2 linked regions of the Schizosaccharomyces pombe genome follow. The protein of the gene in region 1 interacts with the protein of each later gene in a biochemical or structural test. Each region holds a gene or a part of one and is shown on either strand. Other genes may lie near its edges.

What was found. The genes of interacting proteins can lie anywhere in the genome.
Region 2: the proteins of rpb3 (region 1) and rpb7 form a complex in vitro, tested with the Schizosaccharomyces pombe proteins (one study listed by BioGRID).

What each region holds. Positions count from the first base shown.
Region 1 is NC_003421.2:1,783,238-1,793,969, forward strand, and holds the start of rpb3 (DNA-directed RNA polymerase II complex subunit Rpb3), read right to left. Parts: upstream 3,762-10,732; 5' UTR 3,743-3,761; coding exon 3,663-3,742; exon of another isoform or gene 3,621-3,662; coding exon 3,571-3,620; exon of another isoform or gene 3,525-3,570; coding exon 2,761-3,524; 3' UTR 2,202-2,760; coding exon of another isoform or gene 738-2,201; 3' UTR 555-737; coding exon of another isoform or gene 549-554; 3' UTR 1-548. Other genes in the region: trp3 (anthranilate synthase component I), read left to right, coding at 549-554, 738-2,201; mrp49 (mitochondrial 54S ribosomal protein mL61), read left to right, coding at 4,053-4,192, 4,374-4,641; SPOM_SPCC1442.11C (uncharacterized protein), read right to left, coding at 4,765-5,313; CDP-diacylglycerol-serine O-phosphatidyltransferase Pps1, read left to right, coding at 6,359-6,480, 6,568-6,799, 7,083-7,446, 7,530-7,534; sqs2 (G-patch type RNA-binding protein), read right to left, coding at 8,109-8,672; hnt1 (adenosine 5'-monophosphoramidase), read right to left, coding at 9,600-10,001; protein Cox18, read right to left, coding at 10,529-10,732. UniProt on the Schizosaccharomyces pombe protein: DNA-dependent RNA polymerase catalyzes the transcription of DNA into RNA using the four ribonucleoside triphosphates as substrates. Component of RNA polymerase II which synthesizes mRNA precursors and many functional non-coding RNAs.
Region 2 is NC_003424.3:2,900,161-2,903,633, reverse strand, and holds rpb7 (DNA-directed RNA polymerase complex II subunit Rpb7), read right to left. Parts: upstream 1,551-3,473; 5' UTR 1,347-1,550; coding exon 873-1,346; exon of another isoform or gene 806-872; coding exon 761-805; 3' UTR 501-760; downstream 1-500. Other genes in the region: tcb3 (tricalbin), read left to right, coding at 1-265; P-type calcium transport ATPase Cta4, read right to left, coding at 1,940-3,473.

The sequences.
Region 1 (10,732 bases):
CTATTCAGGTCTGCAACTTTCTAGCTAACATACACACCCTTTTCATCTAAACGAATGCCTTTTATTTTTAACATTTTTAAATCAAACCAAGGAGACTAGATAAATAAAATAAAAAAAAAAGAAATCAAGATCTTAACTAGATTGCAGTTTATGTTCGACGAAACTTTGGCCATTTTAAGAATTTGCCTAAGAGCTTAGGAAAAAAATAAATCTTATCCTAAAACAAAATACTTTTATCGGTTTGTCCGCAGTTAAATATAACTTCCTAATTCCTATTTCCAGTCTTTTATTTACATTTAACCATATAACGTTTTCCAACGCATCCGTTATATTTTTCATCTAATTTAGATGAATTTTCCAACTTTCACAAGTTGTCTTCTTCCAGCAGCTTTACGTTGTTGAATTAATTGGTTCTTTTGTTTTCTTTCTTCGCTTACAGAAAAATTTGGAATTGCTTGTCTTTCTGGAAATAGATCGGTTCAAGTTTAAGGGATTTTTTTGGTTTGCTATTGAATTTGCACTTATTCGAGTATAGACTTGTCAATAAGATGAAGGTAATTTGATTTTTTTTGTTCTAACAAGGAGACCCAACCTATGGAAAATAAATAGTAGTATTGGGATATATTGACGAGTTTAGGATTGGGTCTTTCCTTTGTTGTATTGCTTTTAACTGTAAAAGTCGCCGTTTCTAGGGCTATGAAGCTTAAAATTAATACATGATACTAATACTATTTTAGATTTATCCTGACTTGAAACAAGTTCAAGAGCTTGCTGAAAAGCACAAGGCTAACAAGATTCCCATTTATGGAGTAATCCCTGCCGATATGCTGACTCCTTCAGTAGCCTACTTGAAGCTTAATCAAGGAAAGAAGTATTCGTTTATTTTAGAAAGTGTCACTCAAGGAGAGAGTGTCTCAAGATACAGTTTTATTGGCAGCCCTTATAGAATATTAATGGCCAATGGAAAAACAGATCCTTTGGCACGTTTAGAACGTGAGTTGAAAGAAGTTAAAACAGCCCCTGTTGAGGGTCTGCCATCTTTCAGTGGAGGTGCTGTGGGCTATGTTTCTTATGATTGCATCAAATATTTTGAACCCACTACTGAAATGCCTTTAGAAGATACCTTGGGTCTTCCGGAGGCTATGTTTTTCATGACCGACGATTTAGTCGCTTTCGATCATGCTTATCAGACTGTCAAGATAATTTCTCATGTTTGCATTCAGCAAGGCCGACCCATTGAAGAGGCTTACGAAGCTGCCGTTTTCAAAATCAATATGCTTAAAAAGAAACTTGAAAGTCCTGAAATTCCTTTGCCTGAGCAAAAGAAGGTCCATTTAGGATACGAAGCTAAGTCAAATGTAGGCGAAGACGGGTATAAAGCATTTGTTTCCAACCTCAAGGAACATATCTTTAATGGCGATATTTTCCAAGCTGTCCCAAGCCAACGGATTGCTAGGCGTACAGATTTACATCCTTTTAATTTGTACCGCCATTTAAGAACAGTTAACCCGTCCCCTTATATGTTCTACATCCACTGTGATGATTTCGACATAATCGGTGCTTCCCCTGAATTACTGGTTAAATCAGAGCATGGGCGTATTATCAATCATCCCATTGCCGGAACTGTTCCAAGAGGAAAAACTAAAGAAGAGGATGAGGCATATGCCAAGGATTTACTTGCTAGTGTCAAGGATAGAGCTGAACATGTAATGCTGGTGGACTTGGCAAGAAACGATGTCAGTCGTGTCTGTGATCTCGACACAACAAGTGTTGACAAGTTGATGACTATTGAAAAGTTTTCTCATGTTCAGCATCTTGTTTCTCAAGTTTCTGGTGTTCTGAGACCTGATAAAACTCGTTTTGATGCATTCCGTAGTATATTTCCGGCTGGAACGGTCAGTGGGTCTCCCAAAGTCCGTGCAATTCAGCTCGTTTATGGATTAGAGAAAGAAAAGCGTGGTATATACGCGGGAGCCGTAGGTCGTTGGGGCTATGAAGATGACAACATGGATACTTGTATAGCAATCCGTACAATGGTTTATAAAGACGGAACTGTTTATTTGCAAGCCGGTGGTGGTATTGTGTTTGATTCAGATGAACAAGATGAGTACGTGGAAACTTTAAACAAACTACGTTCAAATGTTACTGCAATTGAGGAAACCGAAAAATTATACGCTGAAGAAGAAAACTCTTCAGCATAAAAGTAAAGGAGACGCTTTCGGTTCTCGTTGTACATGTTATTTTAAAGTGTTGAGGTTTTTAAAAACTTTTTTGTTGTCTTTATTTTTGGTAAACGAATAAAACATCGTTATAAAAAATTGTATTCTGTAATCTCGTTGTCCACTTGTAGCAACTTTGTCTATTCATTGTGAGCATGGTGAGCCGATATAAACTTTCCAACAAAGAGTTCAAGAGGCAATCACCGAAAATTAAAAAGATATCAAAACGACAATTCCGAAAGTGTTCTCTTTCACGAAATTATCTAAAGCTATAATAAATCCAAGTGAAGAAGAACAAAATTATGATATGAGGGAGGAATATATATCTCTATATATGCATATCAATACGTACAATATGTTGTAGCCAAAAGCCAAAAAAAAAAGGATTAGATAAAAATGTGTAAGGTATGACATGAACGGACGCAGGCCATAAATTAAAAACTTTTAGATGATTAAAAAAACGCATCTAGAGTATTTTTTATAACAACAAACATATAAAGGATGAAAATGGATAATTTTTAGAAAAGAATTGAAGCATAGTCTACCACGTGTTTTCTTCACCATTTTGATAGGGAGACCAGTTCATTTCTGCATTCTCCTCCATATTCAGTTCGTTAGCAGAAAGTTGAGTAGGCTGCTCTTCGTCGAGATCACGAACTAAAACTGCAAGCTTTTCCTGAAGAATTCGTAAACCTTGAACCATTATTTCATTGGGTGGTATAGAACCGACACTTTCGACATCCATATAAAACCGACGCGGTTCCTCTTGGAAGTTGAATGGTTCGCCTTCCCGCGGTGGTTCTTCCCAATCGGCATTTTTGCTTTTTGGCCACTCTGCATCTGCATCATTCTCAAACCAGTAATCAGTATGCTGTAACTTGTTCCATGGATCGTATTCAAATGCAACAGCTGAAGTAGGTGACCACTTAGCATGTTCTTTAGCTATACCCTTCTTGGCAATGCAACGCAGAGAAATTTCCTGCTCTTTTCTGAGTTTGCAAATAAGCGGTCCGCGTGATTTTGGATCGGCGAGAATAGGGTGTCCAAGAGAAGAGTTAGAAGAAACAACAAGATCTCTAGCATAAATTTCCATCGTACCCTCACCAGTACATTTGGCATTTAGGAACAACTCGACTGAACACTTGGGACAATACTGATCGCAATCGCAATTGCGCGTATATTCCAAACCTACTGGAGGCGGTTCATCGATGTTGGAGCTATCCAGAGGTATCATACCAAGACGATGTGCTAGAAACTCATCAGGCATGACTGAGGTATTCACATTAATTTCAACTAGGTCAATGGCTAAAACATCATTAGTATTTAATTCAAGAATGAACCTAAATCTTACCCACTGTTGGAATCTCTGCAAGTACAACACGTCGCAGCGAGTTTGCAACTCTTTCAACTATTAGAAGGAATTTCCTAGAGCTTTTCACTTACGCCAAACTTGTATTTGTAAGGACAAAATCCACCGAGTTTTTACTTATATTTCGTATCGTAATATGCGTTTCTGAATCCATAATGAGAATGTGTCGTTTGGTCTATGCTTGTTGCAGAATTTCATACTCATTTCTCCCATTCCGCACTGTTAGGTGATCCCTTATTTAGCATAAGGACACACTAAACTACGTTAAATGCGAGATCAAGGAACTCGCTTTTAAAGAGAGCAAGCAACAATTGACAAGAGAGTACGAATCTACGGCATTAGGCTTAATTCATTAATATTTATATTCTCTGTTCATCCCGACAGAATATTTGAATAAAAACATATTGTTTCAAACTCTTTCATTTTTGTTTGGCTGATTATTACTACAACTTTACATTTTCGCCATGTCTAGCATAGGCGGTAAATTACAAAAATCTTTGCACAAGATTCGTGCTGGAGCTTTAGGGATTCCTTTACCAAAACATATTCAGGAAGTATCTATTCAATATTCTTTAGACAGCCGTTTGGGACATATGGGTGCTAAGTAAGTTTTGTTTATTCGTGTTAGAATCATCGATGTTGTCTATGTACTGGTACCTCAAACATTTTATGCTCAATTCATGTTTAATTCTCTCAAATAACTGCTTGATAATACTTTGTGTGAGGAAGCACTGATCTACGATTCCGTTTCATGCGTTGTTCATTGCTAACGTTTTAAATTCTAGAAAATTTGTAAAAGAATGTCTTCCTTCATTGTATTACAACAATTACGGCTTGAAGTTTAACGTTAATCACCGTTTACCGAACGATCAAACTCCAACATTTTCCATTATCTCAAACAACAAAGTAATCTATTCGTACGACATGCGGTCAAAACAGCTGGAAACAATTTCTTCCGATATTCAAAAAGCGCTTAAAGAACTTCATCACGAGTCATCCCCGGAAAACATTAAGGAAGCGCACAAACAAGATTATTCACCTCCTTCTAATTAAGCAAAAACGCTTTTAAAATTACTTTTTTTCAGTGAACAAAATATGCATCTTTTTTTTTTCTAAAAAACCTTTAGTTTTGCTGCAGTCCGTTTACTGTATTCCTTTGTTTGATGATCCATAAACCTACAATTCCCTATTTTCTTTTTTATTTAAAAAAGTTGTTTGAGTGAAAAAGAATGCTATCTTGAATACGAGCTTTAGTCTAAAAAATACATCGGCTTGCATTAAGATTTTTCTATCCTTGAACGAGAGCGTAAATGCCGTAAAATAAAAGAACAAAGAATGACCGAAATATTCTAACTTGGTATAAATCATATTTGTTGATTGAGTTCTTTGAAAAAGTTTTTGTACATGATTATGAGGGAATGAACTAATGATCGTTTGGTATGACAAAATAGCGTTTCTCCTCTTACTTGATCGTATTTTTCCTAAAGAAATAAAATTTCTGCCAACTTTGTTTATATCCATAATGCAAAATTCCTGCTGCAGTTTATTAGATATTGAGGTTTTTTTTCGGTCAGTGGAGGAAAGTGAACAAATTTGATTGTAGAGTTTAAAAATGGTTGAAATTGTGATCATATCAAATAGCCAACCATCTAAATTACGAAGTACAATATCTTTTTTACAATATCCTCTTACCAAACTCTTCGGGTTTCTGTTAACGATGAGCATGTACTTGTAAACGATTCAAAGTTTAACTGAACAGAAGATGTTATCTAACTTTATCTTATTAAGAGAAATTGTACAAAAAAAAACAGAGTGTTTAAGTTGATGTTTGAAAAGTTTAAAACAATACTCAAAAGTGCGCATTCGATGCTTTGTTACCAGATTAAATAGTAGAACATAAAATTATAGGAATCCATATTTAGTTAGTTATGAATGTTCTTAACTATCAAGCTATGAATAATAGAAAATTTAAAGGAAATACATTCTGTTTTAATTCAAGGTCTTGCTAGTATTTACATAAATAGTGCATACCAAAGTACTGTTCAATGCTAAAAGCTCCAAAAAAAACATAAGCTAGTTCATGTTTACTTTCTATATAATAAAATTTTTTACTTAACAATAGTGGCCGTTTGGTCTAGTGGTATGATACCATCTTAGGGTGATGGTGGTCGTGGGTTCGATTCCCACAACAGCCCAATTTTTTGCCAGTCGAATAACAATAGAAAGTTAGATGAAAAATGGCCCTTAATGTGATCGTGATATTTGTTTCTTTTTGAGTTGGGTCCAACTTGGAATTTTAAATGAGACGTACTATATACACTGTCAAAGGTCATTCATTACTCGGTTTTTAATCATCTTGCTTCGATGCCTTCTACTGCCTTATGCACACATATCTGGATCATACAACAAATTGCCGCATCCCCTATCAGCGGTGGTACGTTCCCTCTTCTTATTTTCTTCATGTAATTCAAAACCACAAACCACCATATTTAGCTTGGAAAATAGTTTAAACACTTCGCTCGTTTTATATTCATTGATTAGCTTTTTCGACTTTTATTCAAATAACAGAACGCACAATGCTGTTTTAACGATGCTAATAAATAAACATTAAAAGATTGATAAGAATTCCAAAGCCTGGATCGCTAAGCATTTCTAGACAATTCTCAATCACAACCATAACGATACCCTGCGGTGCCTTATTTTTGTTAGTTATTCGACTTCCGGTAAATAAACAGGTACAATTAGAACCAGAAACTGCCAATTTTGGAAGATGGTTAGATCACGAGTTTCTCCTGGATTGAAATTACAATCCGATGCATCAAACCAAAGCAATGATAAAGAGAACAAGTTACTGGCCTACGTAAATGATAATAGACATTTTTCACTCATTAGGTATGATTTACGTATTCTTGTTTACACCATTGCGAAAGGACTTTGCAAAAGGATTCATTACTTGAAATACTAACTAGAGGATTGTAGAGCCCTCCACCTTGCAGACTTGATTACTTTAATGAACGGGTTTTGCGGTGTCATGAGTATATTTTCAAGTTTACGTTACTGCCTAAGCGGACAGCAATCAGCTTTCCATTTATGGAATGCAATGTACTTTATGCCATTTGCGTTGTTTTTTGACTTTTTGGATGGTAAAGTGGCTCGTTGGCGTGGGAAATCTTCCTTAATGGGTCAGGAATTGGATAGTCTTGCTGATCTGGTATGTATAACTTCTCAAATCTGTTCCGAGACTATTTTCACATTGGTTGCTTTGACATGATAAAAACACGAGGAACATGATAAGAGGCTTCTTTGGTTGAATTTTTTCTTCATTTTAGCTAAGTCGAGCTTTTTTTTTTTGCTTCTCGTTTTTTACATTATGTCGGTTTGTTCAATGAGTCTGAATTTTTCTCAATAAACATGCGATTGCGTATAATTCTTGATTATATATATTTTTTCTCTCTCTTATCCGGTCTTTTTATATCATTATACTAACAAAATAGATTTCATTTGGCGTATCTCCAGCCGTCTTTGCCTTTTGTTGTGGATTCCAAACGTTCCTTGATACCGTTATACTTTCCCTTTTTGTTTTGTGTGGTCTAACTAGATTGGCTCGTTTTAATGTTTCTGTCAATTCCATTCCTAAAGATGGATCTGGCAAGTCTCAGTTTTTCGAAGGAACGCCCATTCCTACCACCCTCTCCTTAGTAACCGTTTGCGGAGTTTGTATCTTAAAGGGAAAGACTCATGAAAATCTACCTTGGGGTGAGTGGTGTGGAAACACACCTTTTGCATTTCACCCGCTTGTGGTTTTGTTTGTGTTGAGTGGAATTGCTATGACTAGTAAGAAACTCAAAGTTCCAAAAAGTACGTTTCTATTACATTCGCTCAAATATGTTTAGAATGCTCTTTTTTTTTATTTTGTTTATATTAACTGATCGATTTTTTAGTTTGATCAACTGATGCTTTTATTCAATAGAATCCAAATGAAACTTTACAGTACAGCGATCTGGGTATACACAGTTTTTTTCACTTTTTGCTTTTGATGTTACTCGCATGCGAAGCCTTTTCCTCTCTTAAATTTATAATCCTTACTGAATCTCTTCTCATATCCTGTTTTTCCTTTTTTCTTCCATTTCGAAGATAAGTCTGTCCTTCACCTATTCGACTTAACCATTTTTAACGTAAATGCACTCATCATTGTTCATTCCTTCCCCCTTTTCCAAATATGTATTTCCGTCCTTTTAACAATTAGAAGCTGTTTTTCAACTTACCAGTTTTCTATTGCTCTCTTTATGAAAAACTTATGAAATTGAATTATTTCAAGTGATTGTACCCTCAACGGTAAAATATAGTAAAATTCCTTTAATTATTATTTCTTATATAGTCATCATGATGAGCAACCAAAAATAAAATTCTTTATAAAAAAGAAACTTTCCCAAAATGATGGTGAAAAGTAATTTTTCCTTCTAAATAAATAATGTTTTGTAAATATACACTATGAGGATTTAAAATCTCCTCGTCAAAAACTAATGAAGACCCTGTTTATTATTTTTTACAACAGCCACAACCGGATCAACCATTCCTTGGTTTTCAGAACCAAGTCCCTTCCCCCGAGACCAACCCATCATTTCTAAAAGTTGTTTTCCTTTGCCATTATTTATAGCGGGAGCGCTAGAACCAACAACATGACCGTCCATACGCTTTTTTGTATTGGTTGACACACTTCCTTCCTGTATTTGCACGCGTTTCCTTTTTTTCAAACCTTTAGGAGTCATTTCAACAAGTTTGGATTTTCTTTTCTTTGACAATTTCACGTCAGTTTGAAGTGCAAAATGACGATCATACTCAATCATGCTCAACGAAGTCTCTTCTTCCGCAATGTGGCTCATATAATCTAGTTCCACTTCTTTTCTCCTTTCACCAAACAGCATTTCATATTTTTCTAAAGCATCCTCATTGCTCAAGTGCTTCGATGGCTTCTTTTTTGGTTGAACAATCTTTGGCTTCCTTGGAGGAGGTTTTGGAGATGCCTCTACATTTTCCCATTGAGAAGATGTAATAAAAGAACCGTCTTCCACAATAATTGCCATTGTATTAATAAATGTTCGAAAATTCAGCAAATTTACAAAAACCAGCCTGAGTTGGCATTGGTGCTATAAAGAATGCACAACCCAAGAAACTTAAATTTTATGAGATCAAGGATAATAATAGGGATTTATTAAAATCAAGCCTGACTATTCCACAAATTCGCTCTCAATTATAAAAGTTTTGTTCGTGCAGTATAGCTTGCTACTATAAACCAAGTGTGACTTGGTTGATGAATAATTGTTACTTTGGGTAAGTAAATACTATCGCAGTGGTTTTGATCAATTATTAGCAATACCCTGATAGAAAGGCTCAAATATAATTTTGCATGTTAAAAATACTAGAATTCTTCAATGCTGTCCGGCAAAAATTTCTTCAAACAATCAAGTTTTAAGTTGACGCCGCAAGATGTCTTTCATTTTCTTAAAAGAAAAAAAACAAGCTAGGTCATCAATAAAATAATATGATACTGGAAATAAACATTCTCTGATGCACATTTACTAATCTTTCCGTCTGCAAGTTTCATAACCTCATATTAGGAAACCAACTACCCTGCATGGATTAATATTTAGACCTTAGACTACAATTTGAACAATGTTCTTCAAACACACCTTTTCTAATCACTAGAATAACAGGTCCAAACATTTGTACCATACATTCCGTATGCACACTACTAAACAAAATCCCTTTATTCACCTTAAACTATGCAAAGATAACAGCAACTACTTACATTGGAAAGGTAAAACAAGTAGGTAAAAGTGTATAAAACAAACTTTTCATTTCTAAAAAACATAAACGTCAAACAACACCCAATAACGACTTTCATGAAAAACACAAGCCTATTCTACAAAGACAGGGCTCATGTTTTCCTTATAGTTCTCGCCAAGTCAAGGAAAGTTTCGATTCAACGAGACACACAGAACAAAAAAAAACTATTTAATCTTAGAGCTGATTTCCTCGCCCAATGCCTTTATTTCTTCAGGAGAAATAGGATAAGAGGGCCAGCCTACTCCTAATCCATATTCTTCGTTAGGCTTGGGAATGATATGGAAATGAACATGATCCACAAATTGGTGAGCAATGCGACCATTGTTTTGAAGTACATTGTAATTTTCAGGACCAATAGCCTTTGTCACCTTTTTGACAAGGGGAAGAATATCTGCACAAGACTCATCGCTCAGTTCATGCATCTTAGCGGCGTGCTCCTTGGGAATAACTAGTGCATGTCCCTTAGATGTAGGAGCAATATCAAGGAAAGCCAAAGACAAGGCTGTTTCAGCTAGTTTCACACAAGGAATATCTCCTTTAACAATTTTACAAAATATGCAGCTCATAGTGGTGGTTAGCTTAAGTCAAGGATGTGCAAGTGGGAAAATTATCGAAATTTACCGTAGTTAACGTAATAAACAGTGTGAATAAGTCAAATGTTTTTAAAAAAAATGTAAATTTTAAAAACGACTTACATGAAATCAATAGTTAAATTCTTCCTTAAAAATGGAGTAATCGGCGAGGTTGCATTTCTCAAAAAGCTTTGCAGGTAGTCATCCTTGAAATGCCAAACTCATGTCACACGAACAAGCCTGTAATACTAATGATATTTATTAAATATTATTTGGCATTTTAATAATAAAGTATCTTATTTTTCATTACTAATTCAGTCAGTTTTTGCCATGATCAGATGTTTTGTGACAAAAGATTTTCCTTTTGGTAGGCCATAACAAATCAAAAACCTAGCTTTACCATAAGAATGTAGGTAATTATGTACGGAAAGAAAGAAGGAATAATATGTGAGTCTCGACTAGTCAGGTTTGATTTTGTTAAGACCTTTCAGAACCAAACATGTAGAATTACTCTTGCTCTTCTATAACAGCTTTCTCAATGCAACGTTTTGTACCAAAGAGTAAATTGCAGAGGTAGTCCAGTATAAAGACAATGCCGTAGAAGTCTTAAATGCCATAAAAGATACAAAGAAAGCAGACATTATACCAGCGGTATTGAATATTTTCAGCAATCGAGAATCCGAAGGTCGCTTCAATATAGACATGTTTGTTAAATAAGTAACAGC
Region 2 (3,473 bases), on another chromosome or scaffold:
TTTGGATAGCAAACAAGGAGTTCTTTATCTTCGTATAACTCTGAGCCCAAAATGGGTCCTTCGTTCCAAACGCGCCGGAAATTCTTCTCTTGTCGAAGGAATTCTTGGACAGACTGCTTCGATTGTTGGTATGCCTCTTAAAGGCATTAGTACTGTAGGTAATGTTGCTGTTGATGGGGTTGCCTCGGTGGCTAACCTTACGAACAAAATGCGAAAAGGAATAAGCCGTGGTTTTAAAGGAATTCATCACGAGAAGGCAAAGTGACTTTCCATTCTGTTATTTATTAGTTCTTTATTACAATTCGGTTTTCGCATTCTGACTTATTTGAGTAATATATTATCATTATGTTAAATGCATACTTTGATTATAAGGTATTTGAATATTTTCATGGTTTTCTATTTACCGAAGAACGATAAAGACTTATGCACTCCTAATAGATAAAATGCTAGCCCAAGATTGTATTCATAAGGAAATCGTCGATTGATATTGCGATTATATACAATAATTAGGGAAATTCTATTGTTGTGTAAAGGGTATATAAAGTTAAAATTTTTTTTTAAAGATATTGCGCAGCTTTTAGCCATAACATTACCACAGAATAGAGCCAAAATTTAGATCGATAAACGTTGGTATGCGCTTTTACAACTACATGAATAAACTTTGAGACCTAGAAAGGAACTTAATAATAACAGTATACGCGATGGTTAGCATTGAATTAATGAACATGAGAAATAAAAGACAAATTAAAATTTTATCTTTTTAAAGAACGCCTAGATAATCCTCTTTCATTGTTGCAATGGCAAACTAGATATTATGTTAGTAACACGATTAATTAAGCAAAATAAATATTGTGAACTATTGGGAAACTTACAATTTCGGTTGCATCAGTCCTTGTACCGACAATCTTAAGTCTGACATTCGACCCCTTTTCAATAACTTGATCCTCACCAGAATAATTAGGAGGGTTTGCAGTAGGGTCAAACTTCATATCTGGAGGCACCAAATGAGATGAGACAAAGACATTTAATGGTCCTATATTTGCGAAGAATCCCATTTTATTTACTGTTGTAACAATTGCATCGACCACTTCCCCACGAAATGGTCTCCATAACACTGCACGATACTTTACCTCAAATTCGGCAAACCCTTGCCCAGGAACTACCCTCCCTTTATCAATATCTATAGTATTACTGTCCAAAACGCAAATTATATAGCCATATTGACCTGAGCATGTGCCTTCCACGTCCGCCAACAATTTTGCCTTTAAATAGTCCTGCATTCTAGGACCGAAGTAACTGGGATGCAGAGAAATCGTTAACGAAAGCTCTTTGAGGAAGAAAGGCATTGTATCGATAAGTTAATGCAGAAAAGCCCCAATTCAACTCGATCGGTCGATGCGTATTAAAACTGTAAAATTTTGGTTCAAAATAGGGCAAAAATGATGAACATTAAAAAAAAAAACTTTAAATGAGCTTAGCTCTTTTTATTAAATTAAATTATCCCAATTTTTCAGCGGTTTTCGCAATTGCTTGATATATGCTGAGCGTTCGAGGATTTACGAAGTCCCAGTATCATGGGATAGCGCTTATAGAAATATCCCAAATTTTATATGCCTTTCACCTTGCTACTGAGAAGGATTTTAACAAGTGAATATTATTTTATCTCTAATAAGCATCTATTACGTCCTATAAAAAGCTCACTTACACTATTCCAAATTAATAAATCAAATATGCCAAGAATGAATCAATCATTGAGTCTATGTAAAATATTCATAACAAGTAATCAAATTGAAAATGGTGATAAATATTGTATACTGACCGAAGAAAATTGACATCCTTGCCCATCAGTGAGTAATGCAATTACTCATCAGTTTGTTCAAATGAATATTTATCTAAGCTTGTACAGATAAGTAGGTGTAACCCACTTATATAATTGTTCTTAATTACGAAGAACAATTTCCTTCGGCTTGTTGTCACGGAAGTATTTTTTCATAAGCTCTTCAATAATCCAACAAGCCGCGTAATCTACAACCATTGTGGCTAACAGTTGTATCTGGAAATTATAAGCCATTTTAACTAACTGAAGTTTTGCGTTGAGTTCAGGCGAAAACTCAGTTACACCAGCAATAGCGACAAAGGCAATGCCCAAAAGGCCATAGTACATTCCTTTATTTTCACTTAAAGCTTCACGGAAAGGACGGCCCTGATAATTGATAGCAAACGTTGAGACTTGTTGAATAAGTTGAAGCAAATAAATGGCAGTATTCAACAAAGAAGGCTTGAAGGTTTCTTCTAAATCCACCTTTTCTAAAGGATCCTCATACAGATAAACGACACGAGTTATATAGATAAGGGTAACGATATGAATAGCAAACTGACCTAAAACAGAACCAATTATGTAAGTGTTAAAAATTCCAGCTTGAGGCCTTTCTTTTGAAAGAGTTTCAAGTGGACGAGCCCGTGAAACACAGTAAAAACAAACAGACATTAACATTCCCGAAATAGTGTATTGAGTATCACCAAATTTAATTCCATCCAGATGAAGTACTGACAACGAGTAAGCAGTGATCAAACAGTTGAGAGCCAAAATCTTATGCATTTGAACGAGGGCAACTAAAGTACAACGACCTTGACGCACAATGTTGGTTATCGAAGAAACTACAGCTAATTTAGAAGTAAATGGTGCAGCAACAGAAGCGTCTCCTAGCTTAAGTTTCGGTGCCTCATCATCAGAAGCGTTTGCTAAAGTGTCAAACATCTTGTTAGCCAGATTTGCCCGTCTTTCAGCAGCTTTCTCAGCTTCCGTTAATTGAACATCACTAGCTTTCTTAGTTTCCAAATCTTCCAGGACCTTATTTAAGCCTTCTTGAGTCTTTTCACGATGAGGGTTGTTAGGACCAGGAGGGAAAGCATGGCAAAGTGCAGGTGGAACAGGAGGAGTTGGAAGATTAAATCTTTTAGCAAGTTGAATTTGCTTTTCATAAACGCCCATCAACTTCTGATTACGAGCTCTCTCTTGCATTTCAAGCATATCTTCTTCCGAAGCATTTAATAAAGCTACACCAACGTGTGCTTGTTTAAGAGCACCCACATCATTGGTACCATCACCACACATAAGAGTTATATATCCATTGTGTTTCAAAGTTGAGATCATGAATTCTTTTTGAGAAGGAGAAACACGCGCATAAACCCAAGCGTGAGTAAAAATTGACATAATAACGTCCGGATTGATAATTTGAGACAAAGCACGACCGGTAATACAAAGATCATACTTTTCGTACAACGAAGCTTCCAACGATTTATGAGGATTCATGGGTAAATTGATTGTATCATCTGTGCTCTTCCACTCTAAAATCTTTTCATTCTCATGCTTAATATCCAATACGAGGGTTGGCTTTTCAACAATACCAACTTGTTCAGCTACATATACGGCGGTCAGAGGATTGTCACCAGTTATCATCATGCAACGATGC